Oreochromis niloticus: one gene and its partner. The protein of the gene in region 1 interacts with the protein of each later gene in a pairwise test. Links are inferred from orthologs where the notes say so. Each region holds a gene or a part of one and is shown on either strand. Other genes may lie near its edges. The genes, in order: eno3 and aldoab.

The links.
Region 2: the proteins of eno3 (region 1) and aldoab interact in a two-hybrid assay, tested with the Homo sapiens proteins (2 studies listed by BioGRID and IntAct, with this or other methods). The link is inferred for Oreochromis niloticus from reciprocal best matches to the Homo sapiens genes ENO3 and ALDOA.

What each region holds. Positions count from the first base shown.
Region 1 is NC_031967.2:79,649,360-79,657,120, forward strand, and holds the start of eno3 (beta-enolase), read left to right. Parts: upstream 1-4,608; 5' UTR 4,609-4,766; intron 4,767-7,761. Other genes in the region: pfn1 (profilin-1), read left to right, coding at 14-111. UniProt on the Homo sapiens protein: Glycolytic enzyme that catalyzes the conversion of 2-phosphoglycerate to phosphoenolpyruvate. Appears to have a function in striated muscle development and regeneration.
Region 2 is NC_031973.2:16,919,516-16,926,817, reverse strand, and holds the start of aldoab (fructose-bisphosphate aldolase A), read left to right. Parts: upstream 1-4,241; 5' UTR 4,242-4,376; intron 4,377-5,674; 5' UTR 5,675-5,681; coding exon 5,682-5,793; intron 5,794-6,046; coding exon 6,047-6,313; intron 6,314-6,408; coding exon 6,409-6,569; intron 6,570-6,906; coding exon 6,907-7,165; intron 7,166-7,290; coding exon 7,291-7,302. Other genes in the region: integrin alpha-M, read right to left, coding at 1-28, 309-411, 2,791-2,827. UniProt on the Homo sapiens protein: Catalyzes the reversible conversion of beta-D-fructose 1,6-bisphosphate (FBP) into two triose phosphate and plays a key role in glycolysis and gluconeogenesis. In addition, may also function as scaffolding protein.

The DNA of each region.
Region 1 (7,761 bases):
TCTGTCTCTACAGCGATAGTCATAGCCAAGGGCACGAAAGACGCCTCTGGTGGTCAGGTATCCAGCAAGGTGTTCAAAATCGTTGAGTACCTGAGGAAGGCTGGTTATTAGGACAAGACAACCACCTTCATCTCACGAGATGGATGCCACCTCCTGCCTCCCTGTGTTTCTATATCTGAGCTTCTTTAGTTTTTTTTTTTTTTTTTTTAAAGTCATTTTCAATCTTCAGGTGTGTTTCCTGCTGTAGAGATGAATCAGAGTGTTTTCTCTGGTCTAAGTTAGCATGTGGTAGCTTTTAACCTGAGAGTACACGTCATGTTTAACGCAGGAACACAGTGTTACCATTATTTTTCTACAGTGGCGATTGACCAGCGTCCAATCAGAGCTCTGTGAAAACTCATTGCACACCTGAATTAAATAAAAACAAACATGGTTATACTTACATTCTGAGGGTGTCTTTATATGTGTGTGTGTGTGTGTGTGTGTGTGTGCGCTACAGCTTGTGTTCTACAAATGTTTTCTACAAACACCTCTTCTTCAGGGGCTGATTTATTGTGCGACACACAGCTAAAAAAATAAGACAGTCTAGTGCACTCATATACACGCATCACACCTAATATTTGATTAAATATGCCACAACAAGTTGTAGTATTAGTATTACGCACAACTGTTTGTTAGAGCTTATATAGCGTTTAAACAATACACACACGTTTGTCTTTCTGCATAAGTGTGGACCCATATTGACTTACTGCCTTATCAAGTCCCCTGATCTAAACCTGAACCTCAAAGCCACGTTTGTGTTCAAAGAGTGCTCTGAAGGAGAAAAGGCCAACTTTTCCATAAAATACAAAACTTCCTCTTCATACATAAATGTCATCACATGCTGAATGTCTTCATTATTCTGGTTTAAAACCTGCACAGGTTCATGCACAGGTATGCGCCCACACATCCACATTTCTTTTTGTACACATTAACATACTGGCTTGTCAAGTCCAAAACTAACTGACTCCAAAACCAGATATGAACCCTCACACCTCCCGCCTCCCTTCCCCTCACACTGTACTATGAAGCAGAAAAGGCTTTTGTGGCTTTATAAAAAAGGATGAAAAAATGCCCTCCACCTCAAAACCAGGCCAGACTGAATTTGTTTGTTCTCCCTGTGCTTGTTTGGGTTCTCTAGGGGAACTACAGCTTCACCCCACAGTCCAAAAACACATGTGTTGGGTTAACTGTCGGTGTGTATGTGACAATGACTGAAAAAAATTCTCATAATGTAGAAACATTCGCATTATTTTGGATTCAAGCTAAAAATGGCTCTTACAATGAAAACTGTACAAGCCCAGACACGTGTCATCCTACACATGTGTGGGCACATGCTAACCCAGAGGCTTATCATGGCTCTTTAGTCTTTCAAAGGCATGAGGACTCTCTGAAATATCCCTATAATGTAAAAATGTGCTCTTATTTTTATTTAAAAGTCACATGGTAAAAATATACCAAGCATAGCCGCCCACAAATGACTTCTTCTCAGGGCCCCTCTCCTTAAACTCACCCTTTAAATTAGGTCCCATATGCATAAAGATCCTTATAGTTCTCACAGAAACCTCGTTAGCCTAAAACATATCAGCACAGACAGCTTAAAAGTAATTTAGAGGAAAACTAAGCAGAAGGGGAATAAAAGTATAACTCAGTGAGGAGGTGTGGCTGACTTTAGAGCTTTGTATGATGCACTCTTTCAAAGAAAATTTTATTTTAAGGCAGCTGCGAATATCTTCTAATTGAAGAAACAGGAAAATATACCTTAGCTTATAAAATGTTTGAAAACACAGACCAAACACAGGCCTATGTGTGCGGCAGGCACACTAGTAATGAATGTGCTTTATAGGGACAGATCGGCTGACCTCTGACCTGTAGACAAGAGCTGAAATGCTAAAAACTGCAGTTCCTGTAATGTCCACTCGGGCCTCCAACAGTAATTCAGTCCCCACGATCTCCCAAGTTAAAATGTCCAAACGTAGAACTGAAGTAAACATGTTTGCACAAGATGCCCAAAAGGCTGAGCTCTACTTTTAATAAGTGAACTTCAGATATCTGTGCCTGTGTGGTGCACTCATTCAGTCCATGGACGCGGCTTTATAACCCTGCAAGATGGCATAAGGTCATAACTTAGCACTCCAAACTCTCATCCAAACATGGCCACGCCAGACTCTAAAAAGATCAACATGGCACCAGCCAAAAACTCTTACAAACACCCTGCTGTTCACCTTTTAGTTGGAGACCTTTGTAAACACGGGTCCCCACAGGTGTATAAAAACAAACATCTGTGTATGTGGTTAAAATGCAACATAAATGATTACTGCTAAGAGTAGTACAACTAAAAGTAGTATTATTGAAATATAAAATTGTGAACTTCTAGTGCAACGTGATTTTGTTACTATAGTACTGCAGCCCACTCGTACTGCTCCAGAACTACAGTTACATGTCACGGTGAAGTAGAAGTGACAAACTTCCACTTTACTGACACAGACAGTAAGATAAATGCAGCACTGCAGGAGAACTTACACTATGTGTCATATACAGAGTGTGCCCCTCCCCCACCACTCCAGTAAAGTGCAGTTATATTTAGTAAAGGCACCGGGGACGCTGGACAGGCCGCCGTGTAGCCACTCGGTGTGTGTGAAGTACAGTTAAAGGTGAGCGTAAAGGGTAAGGTGTGTGTGTGCTGGGGTTACTGCCCTTTGCAGTGAATGCTGAGCTGGTCTCACATTTCCCCTTTAGATGAACTTCAACCTTCTCTGTGGGCGTTAGGGACCATCACTCTTGTTCACCCCACAACATAATAGTCATTCAGCACACAGAGTAAAACTGGGCCCCACAAAAAGACTTTTTTTCCTTCATTCTTGTGACGTTTTGAACTAATTTGTGCCTTTTTTCATCGCATTATGGTAGAAATTTAAATTTGTGTTTCTTTTGTGGCTTTTGTTTAGGAGGAAAGTCCTCTGTGAATGTTCATGTCACACCAGTTCACAACAATGATGAACTAAATCATTTTATTTAATCGGTCTGCTGGATTTTAACAGTTGGGCTGTATTTTTAAACCTTTCTGAACTTGTACATGTGTTCAGTGATCAGCTGCTGCAGCTGCCTGTGTCGCCATCCACCTGTGAGTCAAAGAGGCCACGCCCCTAAAAATGCAAACTTTAAGCTTTAGTGCAATTTAAATATGCAGATGCAGTCGTTAAACCTCACCAGTCTAAGCTTGTGTGCCTGAAATGACTGCAGGTTTCTACTGCTGTCAACGAAAGATACAAGTTTTCTAATCACAGATGGGACTGAAACACTAAACCAGTAAACCACTGAGGTGTAAACACCTTTAACATCTTTGCATTTAAGCACAATAAAATCAGGTACACACAAAGGAGACACATGAAAACAGCAGAAATCAAACCTGAAAAAAGGGAATTTAAGAGGTTCCAGTTTTTTTTATTATGTGTATTTTTGAATGAAAGTCAGAATAAGAAACACCTTTTTGCCCTTTAAAGATGAGGGACCACATAACAGAGTTTAACTGGGTAACTTTTACTTAAAAGTAATCGGTTTAAACAGTTGGAGTGCCCACTAGGACAAAACAAACGCCTCTTTTTATTTAGCCTCCACATGCTCAGCACACTGACAGCTTCCTCAGAGTAAAGGCCGTCCTCTGTCATCAGTGATTTAGTTTCTTTAGGTTTTCCTCTGAATAAATATTAAACATTAACAAACTGCTTATTTGACAAATTAACATGTGATGTGATGTTTTCCCTCAGATGAGCCTGAGCTCTGGGTTTCGTCTGGCTGTGAGCGTCACAGTGATTTTAAAGTTTTAGATTAGATCATGCACACAGAGCCACATTTGTTTAATGATTCTTGTGTTTGAAAGCATTAAATTAAACAGAGATGATAGCGCTCGAGTGTTCGAGTCGCAGCACTTCCTGGATTCAAATCGTCTCTGCAGATATAAAATCAAAGAGCATTTACTTTTAAAGCGGCACGGCAGGTCCTTATTATTATTTATTATTACTATTAATGAGGTGGTTTTATACATTTCTTACATTATTTTCAGACTTTTCCATTTAATTTTCATTATTATTGCGTATGTATTTTGTTATTTACCTGAGCTCTTCTGCATTATTAAGCCTTTGCTTTGTGGTGTTGCAGGCTGTGTTTAATGTTTTGGCTGCAGTAACACGGGCACTTAATGACTTTTGGGTTAGACAAAGATTATATCACACTGTTGCTCCAGTGCATCCATGTCCCCTGAAGTCTTTAAGCTCTTATTTCAGAGCAACTGACGAACAGAAACATTCATTGTACCTGAGTTTAAAGACTTCCTGGATTGTGTTACACTGCTGGTTCTTTGGGAAGCACTAGAAATGTGTGTGTTCAGGAAGAGACTGGAACTATTTACATATCTGAGCGTGTTACACTAGGACTGCAGTCCTCATAGAAACTTACACAGCTTCAGATTAAGGCTCTTATAATTATGCTTGGAGACGGCAAACAGCAGTGAAGATCTGATGATTAACTACAGCTGGGAGGTTTTTCTGTTTGCCTCCGTCCTGTCACATGCACACACTCCCTGCTTCCTCCTCCTCCTCCTTCTGCTGCAGCTGCAGGGAGAGGCTATAAAAGCCCTGCTGGGGGACAGACAGACACTTTCCACGTCAGTCGGACAGTCGGACAGTCAGACAGACGACCCCCTCTTCTTGCTCACTGCCTCTGAACAGGTAAGCTGGGATGGTAGGCGGCTGAGGGCTCTGCTTGGAGGTTTTTTAAATAACTTCCTGTTCGTTTCCGCCTCAGTCTGCTTCTGGTTTGGTGACATGCTTTTTAGACTTTTACTCTGAAAGTTCAGTTTGCAGAAGTTCTCCTGAGGTGTTAACTCAAATGAGTTCCTGTTCTGGAGGCTCATTTTGTTCCTGTTTATGGCAGGAAGGGGAACACAGTTTGAAAGGTTTGACTTTGGGTGGGCTGAAGGTCACAGAGCTGACAGACAGACGTGAGAGGCTCAAAGTCCGCAGACAGACGGACACCCTCCATGTGCTCACAGGGAGCTTTAAATCTGAATCTTTAGCATTTATAACTCCCCCTGAGCTCAGAACTGGACACATTTAAGCAGGTTACATAAACTCCAAGCAACACTTCCTGAATCTGACTCTTCACTTTAAAGAAAGGGGTTTTATTGCATTTTGAAAAGACTTCTGTTGACTTTCTACTTGTTGAGTGACTTTGTTTCATCTGTAGCGTAACGATAATGATGTGTGATAACTTTTACTCTTACTGAGCCATTTTATGTTATTGGTTCATTTCCTGTTTGTTGAGCAGCCTGAACAACTGCAGCAGTTCATTCAGGCTGAAACAAAGTGTCCTTAAATCTGCCCTGCTGCGTGGCTGCTCAGGATCACTCAGCCAATAAAAGTTGTTTTCATTTGTCCCACATGTTCTAGCAGCAGACTTGACGCAAATCTAATGATCAGAGGTGATCACAGGACCTGCTGGGTGTCAAATGGCCACTCTGCACCTCAAAATGAGGCGTGTCCTCCCCTCAGGGGTCTGGGAGACAGGGGTGTGGTGCTGGGGGGAGTGGGGCACTAATCCTTCAAAATGATGTTTCTGTATCAAAGCAGCCATGGGTGGACTAGTCCATCCCTTTAAATGCATCACTGTAAATATAACTACAAAGTGAGCGCTCATGGACTAAAAGCTATTGTGCTAATTATAGATATAGACCATGTCAAAGTTGAGCCCCCTCCCCACTGTCCTTCAGTGGTCTGAGATGAAAAAATATATATTACATACTGGTGAACCAGTTTGTGTTCAAACACATGCTTCTCCACAGCTGACTGACGGACCTACAGTCTGAGCAGGAGCAGCTCACTACTACCATATACTTGGTGCAGTCTCCATCAAATGCTCTCCACAGATGGACGGGCAGTTTCACTACACCTACTGCAGCGTAATCGTGGCTTCACTGTTTTGTTCTGAAGTCTTTAAACCATGTGAGCCTTCTTACTCACAGACTGGAACGTATTCACAGCTGAGACCAGAATGCATTTTGGCCCCTTGCTGGTCGACCACATGGTTTAACATGGTTGCAAACTTGTTTCGGGCTGGTCATGTCTCCTAATGATGACCAGCATCCATTAGGACTGAACAAACGTCACTGCTGTGTGGTTTTTATCTCTGAGGATGTCTCTGGGCATTTTGTTTAAAGGCTAACTTGGCACAACTGGCCTGCATGTAGTAAAACTCAGTGAGTTGCCTTTCTAATCATTTTATCTCTAAACCAATAAACACATGTTTGATTAAATTAAACTCCACTTACAAAACTGTTAAATGGCTTTATCCAATCCTGGTAACTCTTCTTCTCAGAAGGTCCAAACCTCTCTGGGTGAGCCTGTCAGGGGTTAAACTGGGGTTTGAGAGGAGGGCGTTCACTGAGCTGAGACGCTTGTTTTAAATCAGTCTAGTAAGGAATATGAAATCCTTACAAGGATTGACTTTAATAATATATGATTGGCTTTGCATTCTGAGAAGTCCTCTAGAAGAAGTGTCAGTTATATCCTCCTGTATGGCGTTAAAGCCAAAAGCTGCAGAGGCGAGTGTCTTGAGTTGCACAGCTGAAAGTCCTGATGAACACAGCTACACAAAAGCTGTTTTCAGTGGTCAGTGTTATTGTGACTGGCTTTTCAAGAAACATGAGAAGACTGTGTGAAATGATTAGTTGGTGTGCATTTAAGTGTCCTCAGTCAGTGTAAATTTGCTCAGCTTTCAGCACACCCAGCACGAACAGGCCTTGTTCCATCTGCCTGAGACGTTTAACCTTCGACTCATGACAAAAAATTGGGTTTTAACAGATTTCCCCTAAAAGTGTCACTGATTTCAGTGACTTATCTGTTTGTTCTGATTCTATGTCAAGTCCAAAGTCTTGGTGCTCAAATGTACCCAAGCTGTGTACAGGAAAAACACTTTAATACATCTGCATGGGTATTTAACAGCCTCTGTCAGACTGCCGCTGTTATAGTGAGTTTATTCAGTGTGAAAGCAGACCTGCAGATCTGAAAGAGGCTGGCTGACCCACACTGAAGTGCAGCCAAGTTAAACTCTGAGCATGTGTACAGTGTTTGTAAAGGCCATCAGGGGTTTGGAGTGTACTGTAAGAGCTCAGCTGTTCAGCTGGCATCTGCCCAAACACTCTTACATAAAACACAGCAGACGTGACGGACGCTCTGAACCTGCTCACACAGTTGGACCAGAACACTTTTACTACGGGAGCTTATCTCGGTGTGCACAGAATCAGAGTTTACTGTATCAAACCTAGCAACCAGATAAAGCCCAGTCCTTCAGCTGTGAAGTGGGTCATGCACAGCGGAGGCTAATATCAGCTCAGTCACAAATACCTCTTCAAATGTCAGAAGCATTAATAAGAGTCTGTGTAACTGAAGAACAGCAGGGAGGAAGTCATGACCTCTGCAGAAAGGTCAGGGAAAAGGTCAAAGGCTCCTACACGGCTGGTGTTGGTATAAATAACCCACGCAGACTATGACCTCCCCCTCGTGTCTGCAGAATGGTCTGTCCCTCTCTCCTGTTGAGCCCTGTAGCTGCCAGTCAGGAGTGCAGGGCTGTGATTGGTTCTGTGGGCAGAGTCTGATGAAGGAGGTCATTATGGAGGCATCATGGCATTAAACAGGATTTCTGCAGCAGGTCTCTCACTCAATCTGA
Region 2 (7,302 bases), on another chromosome or scaffold:
CTGTTCAAGTGGGGCACTGACGATCAAACTATGGAGATAAATCCAGACAACGATGTAAGTCTAGAGAGCAAACTGTGGTTAAATACACTACATATCTTTTCTATTAAGAAATATTGCATGTTTGTTTATTTATTACTAACTAACCTATTATGATGTTTGTTAGAAGAAAATTAGTAATAAATAGCAATATTCCTAAAAAGCAAATAGTCCAATTGCAAGCCTACATTTAACAAACATGTATGTGTGTGTATGTGTGATACACTGTGTGTATGTGTGATAACACTTTATCAATGTGTCTTGTGACTTACTCTGATTTTCTTTGAATCACCTTGTACCCAAAACCAGCAGCAGAGCTACTCAGGGTCTTCCAAGCCCCAGGATCAATATTGAAAGAAAGCGCAGGATTTAACACTGAGAATTAAAGAAGCAAAAAAAAAAAAAAAACTCTAATGTGATTATAGCACTTCTGTTAAATACCACATACAGAAAATTGTATAGAGTCTGTGTTTCTCTTTAATTTTGTTGGAGTGTAGCAGTTTGAACTGAGGTCTGCCTCAGTGGGTGATCTTTTATTACCACTAGAGAGCACATAAGCTAGATATTTTTAAATTCTAAGAACTCAGAGGAATTATTCTCTTGTAAAACACACTCAAGACTTCAATTTGGAGTCAATTTTATGTCTTAAATTCCATATATACAGTCAAAAGTTTGGACACACTTTCTTATTTAATCGTTTTTCTTTATTTTTTAGTACTCTCAACATTGTAGAGACATACTAAAGACATCAAATATATCCACGATATATGGAACTATATAGCAAAGAAAAAAATTATAAATAACTCTAAATATGTATTATATGTTACATTCCTGAAAGTAGTCACCGTTTCCTTTGTTGACAGCGCTGCAAACCCTGGGCCTTCCCTTAATAAGCTTCATGATGAAGTCACCTGAAATGGTTTTCACTTCACAGGTGTGCCTTGTCAGATTTCATTTGGGGAAATTCTTGCCTTCTTGGTGAGATTGGGACCATCAGTCAGTGTGTTGTGCAGGAGTCAGGTAGATACACAGCTGACAGTCCTATTTGACAACTGTTAGAATTCATATTATGGCAACAACCATTCAGCTAGGTAAAGAGAAACGACAGTCCATCATTACTTCAAGAACTGAAGACAGTAATTCCGAAAAATTGCTAAAATTTTAAATGTATCCCCAAGTGCAGTCGCACAAAACATCAGGCACTTGATGAAACTGACTCACATGAGGACGCCCCAGGAAAGGAAGACCAAGAGTCACCTCTGCTGCTGAGGATACATTTATCTGAGTCACCAGCCTGAGACATCGCAATTTAACAGCACCTCAGATTTGAGCCCAGATAAATGCCACACAGAGTTCCAGTAGCAGACACATCTCTACATCAGCTGTTCAGAGGAGACTGTGTGAATCAGGCCTTTATGGTCAAATAGCTGCTAAGAAACCACGACTAAGGAAAAGCAACAAGCAGAAGAGATTTTTTTTTAGCCAAGAAAGACTAGGAATCAACATTGGACCAGTGGAAATCTGTGCTTTGGTCTGACGAGTCCAAATTCGAGAACTTTGGTTCCACCTGCTGAGTCTTTGGTGAGTGTGAACGGATGGTCTCTGCATGCATGGCTTCCACCGTGAAACGGGGAGAAGGAGGTGTGATAGTGTGGGAGAGGCTTTGCTGGTGACACTGTTGGGGATTTATTCAAAATTGAAGGCACACTGAACCAGCATGGCTACCACAGCATCCTGGAGCGACATGCCATCCCATTCAGTTTGCATTTAGTTGGACCATCATTTGTTTGAAAACAGGACCCCAAACACACCTCCAGCTGTGTAAAGGCTATTTGACCAAGAAAGAGAGTGATGGAGTGCCGTGCCAGATGGCCTGTCCTCCACAGTCACCTGACCTAAACCCAGTTGAGATGGTTTGGAATGAGATGGACCGCAGAGTGAAGGCAAAAGGGCCAACAAGTGTTCAGCATGTTGGAAAACCATTTCAGGTGACGACCCCAATAAGCTCATCAAGAGAATGCCAAGAGTGTGGAAAGCAGTAATCAAAGTAAAGGGTGGATATTTTTGAAGAATCTAAACTATAAAACATGTTTTTGAGTTATTTCACACTTTTTTGGTTTACTACATGATTCCATATGTGCTCATTTATAGTTTTGATGCCTTCAGTGAGAATCTAATGTAATTAGTGATGAATATAAAGAAAAAACATTAAACGGTTTCATAACCCCCTGAAAAGTAAATTTATTAAAACATTTTATTACAATGCCATGCCCTCAAGTTTAATTCTTGTCAACACAGTGTTAGTTAGATTATTCATCACAGGATCAAAAAGTACAATATGACACTGAAAACAGGCCTCAAATATGTGATGATTGCATTAACACAGAATTTTTTGTGATTTAGCATTTACATATTTATTGTGGATTAATAATCAAGAATTTAATTTTGGAAAATTATTTATGAAAGGGTTTTTCACTAAGTGCATGCTAGAGGTGAAATGCAATTAAAATATTGTACTCATTAAGCTATTTTTACACTCTGAAACTAACTGGGCTGATCACACGTCTCAGTAAGTTTGATTCACAGAGAAAAAAAAGGAAATGAGCACAACAGACATACTGCTCCATAATAGGGTGTTACTTATTATAGCATTCTGCAGGTTTTCAATAAATATTTGTTCAGCTAAGTGCGTAATTTTACTTAAAATGAAGGCATAACTAGACAATGAAAGATAAAAAGCACAAACTGTCTTACCTGACAAGAATATTGTAGAACTAAGTATCCAGTTCATTGTGTTACTCCCATGGAAAATAATTTTAACTGTGATATTTGGTTTTATTTTTAATTTTCACTGCCACTTCTGCTAAAAGCGTGTAAGAAGGAGCCAAAAAGCAGAAATAATCAGGTGACTGATCAAAGCCAAGGCATCTGTAGAGGAAGGAGGAGTAAAACACAGCAGCAGCTGTGGTGGTGTGTGGCCAACTTTTAATTTAGTTTAAGCTCTAATTTTCTTAAACAATAGTATAACAGTAAACCAACTGGATAGTTTATTAATATGTGGACAACCAGATGAAATTGTTTTAAATGTAATTAAAATGTTAACATTTAAATAAAATCATCTGCCTCATTAGCAGGTCTAAGATAAATTCTTTGCTGAAAATTTGAGGTCAGTCTGATAAAATTCTTTTTGTTTATCACGTTAAATTGTAAATAAGAAAAGGGAATGTTGAACATCTAACATTATGACTATTACTTTCCCTGTAGTTGACTAGTAAGTTGAATTTGCTTGTTCACATTTCGACTTAACACGTCTATTCCTGTTGCATTGTTCAGCCCACAAGCCCTCCTGTCAGGAAGTTGGTCTCTTTTACGGCAAGTGCGTGCCACTAAAAAAGTGTAGTGTGCACTACAAAACCCAAAGTCTGAAAATGTGAGAACATCCGAGTTGCAAAATTTTATGTCTTTTCATGTGTCTGTTTCGTGCTTTCCCATGAGCTGAGTGAGAGACACAGAAACAGATGCAAAGTGCAATGTGCCCCGAAAATATGAACCTGCAACCTTTCCCTAGCTTGGCGGTTGACCTCTTCCTGCAGAGCACAGACGATCAAGAAAGGTTGAGAAAAGGTCAAGGATCAGTGTGCTGTGTTGCTGCGTCTGGTTTGGATTTCTAAAGGCGGGTTGGCAATGTTGCAACATGCTCAACCCTTTCTCACTCTCACTCTTTTTCTGTGTGTGTCTGTGTGCACGCAGACACACATATTTAGTGCATTCTACATATACCCCCAAATTTATCTTCCTTCACATACTATTTCAAATGACCTCTGGATATTAGATGTTCTTCTTTGGTGAGGCAGCGCATTTTAAAATAACTGCAGCCAAATAAAATGTTTCATATAAGACAGAATGTAAAGGATGTGCTTGGAAGATGCATAATTTCATTTAAGGAGAGTGTAAGAAACACTTACATAGTAGGCAAATTTGCGCCATGCCATTCTTCCCTAGACATTTCTGGATAATATCGTCTACTCATTACCCATCTATCTGGACTTTATCTAAACCCTAACTGCCTGTTATTCCATCGCATTTTGTGCCATTCACTGAAACACTCTTTGCCCTTTGAGTGGCTGCTCGCTAGCACGTTACTCCAGCCCCAGTCCTGCTGAATGTCACAAGCCATCTCTGGTTGCATCCTGTTCTTTTTATAGTTGGGCAGCTGAAATGTGAGGGGTCACAATGGGAGGATAAATACAAGGGCCAGCAGGACTGCAGGGGTGTCACAGACGAAGGCCGGATCTTCTCCCTTCTTCTCTCTTCTCTCAGCTCTCCTCGCAACCTCAAAGGTAAAAGATTGAATTCATGCCCATGAAGAAAACAGCATTTTAAGTGGATTTGTTGGTTAGCTATTGAATGTTATGTTATAAAGCCTTGGCATAATGAGAGGCTTATGACCTGTATACCAGAATTAAAATAAAAACAGTGTTATGCATCTTCTTGTAGCTTTCACAACTGTGTGGTTAACATGACTAGCTCGAAGTATATCAGTGAAACCCGCAGGTTCATGTCTGTTGGTTAAATGCAAGTGTGCGTCTTTTTTTTTCATTACCTCAGTGAACCAGATGCTATACAGATGAAAATATCTCATCCTTTTCTATAGTATAACAACACTAAATAATGATTGTGATGAACTGTGAGAATGATTCTCCCTTGACATTAAACAAAGCTGATCATTTTTGGTAAACTTCAGTCACCTAGCTTTATCTGATGCAAAGTTTCCATTGGCACATTGGTGGGGTGACTCAATAGTCTGACTAATTTCTTGCTTTACTGGATCAATTCATCTAAACTACCTTCTGCAATGTGGCATGCCTCATCAACAGCGGGGTGTAACACTGCACATTTTCTTTTTTGCAGCCCCTTCATGCTACATGAGCTACAGTGCACTCACTGCCTCATGCAAGCAGTATACTGGGTACACTGGGTATATTTAGTCTAACGTATTGATAGTGGCGACAGGGTGACAGTTGGAGGAGGTATGCGATAGGAGGCCAGTCAAGCGGAATGGTGAGGGAAGGGGGGCTGTGGAGGGGAATGGAAAGGTCAGGGATAAGAGGCTAGAAAATGGAATAGGTCACGGACGTGCACACGATTTTTTAAGGGTGGTCAGATGCATGGAGGGTGGGGCATGTGGTGGTGGTGGAGGGGGGGGGGGAGGGGGGGGGGGGGGGGTATCTGTGGAAGTTCTCTGACACTGGATCCTCTGTGAGGCTACATATTGTGCCTGGGGAGTAGAGTGAAACCAGTGCACAAGCTGCTGCAGCAGTTAAAGCTTAAACAGCTGCTGTCGCATGTAGGACACAAGCTGGCCTGGGTTGTTTTAGCAAAAGATAGTCTGACAGGAAAACCATGAGCCAGACGTTTTTGTTTTTTTTTTACCACTTCCTTCACACAATGAACCCGATGTTCTGTTCTCCTTTCATCTAGCAGTTTCCCACACATATACCCTGAAACTGTTACACTCAAAAGCAGATATGCAGAGCAGTATAACCTTTCGACTTGGCACACTGTAAAAATGTATAATCTCTGTGTCCTGTTCATTATTAATTTCTCAAATTTTTGTCTTCCCTTTATTTATATCAAGAGTCAGGATGCCTCACGCATACCCTTTCCTCACTCCTGAGCAGAAGAAGGAGCTCAATGATATTGCTCTGAAGATTGTGGCTCCTGGCAAAGGAATCCTTGCCGCAGATGAGTCAACTGGTAAGAAAATGAACCTATATACTAACAATCAGTTATTTGGCACAGTCAACTCAACAGTTGCCAAAAACCATGACTTAAGGATCACAGTTAGGCTACAGTTGAAACTGGTTTCATTGTGTGTGTGTTTTCTCAGACCTGAACTGAAACACTTCTGCAAATGTGCAGACATGCAGACAGACTGTGGTTTCCAACACCTAATAATATAGTATTTTTTTATAGTCCATCTGATTTGATATGTTTCTATAACCTCCAGGCAGTGTGGCCAAGCGCTTCCAGAGCATCAATGCTGAGAACACTGAGGAGAACAGGAGGCTGTACCGCCAGCTCCTCTTTACTGCTGACAACCGCATCAGTCCCTGTATTGGTGGCGTTATCCTCTTCCATGAGACCATGTACCAGAAGACCGACGATGGCAAGCCTTTCCCTCAATACCTCAAAGAAAGAGACATGGTGGTGGGTATCAAGGTCGACAAAGGTGTTGTCCCCCTGGCAGGAACCAATGGCGAGACAACCACCCAGGGTGAGCACAGAAAAGATCCAGACATCATCAGTATTACATCATCATCTTTTAATATTTTTATCTAACGTATCGTGTATGGCTTTCCTTCTTAACAGGTCTCGATGGACTTTATGAGCGTTGCGCCCAGTACAAGAAGGATGGTGCTGACTTCGCTAAGTGGCGTTGTGTTCTGAAGATCACCCCCACCACGCCCTCAAGACTGGCTATCATAGAGAATGCCAATGTCCTGGCTCGCTATGCCAGCATCTGCCAGATGGTAAGACACAATAGACAGATAACCCAGTTTCACAGAATTTTACAAAATACTTTTGCTGTTTTTGCTTGTTTCTTTTTTGCATGGCTGCATTTCATTTGATCATGCCACACACACACTTCCTGCATGGCTAGAAACACGCAATGAGGAAACCTCAGAATGTGCCAACAAGCTCAAAAACCTTTTCTCCAAATTAATACTATATCATAGTATCCACAAGGCAGCATAGCAGAAGCAGAAATTTTTAAATTTTAAAAAGTCTTCACTGTTGGATTTCATGTCTTGCCTTCTTAATATGAGCTCCTATTTTACACTGTCCTTGTGTCCTGGCCTTTCCTAGCATGGTATTGTCCCCATTGTTGAGCCTGAGATTCTTCCTGATGGTGACCATGACCTGAAGCGTTGTCAGTACATCACTGAGAAGGTCCTGGCTGCCGTCTACAAGGCCCTGTCTGACCACCACGTCTACCTGGAGGGTACCCTGCTCAAACCCAACATGGTTACCGCTGGACACTCTTGCTCACACAAGTACACCAACCAGGAGATTGCCATGGCAACTGTTACTGCCCTGCGCCGCACCGTTCCCCCTGCAGTTCCTGGTAAGCTGAAAGTGCATCACACGCTTGCTGATATGCACACTTTTCCACTTTTTTAGACATAATCTTTTGTGACTAATCTACATTAGATCTGCACTCTGGGTTGCTAAACTCTACCTGCTTTGCAGGTATTACCTTCC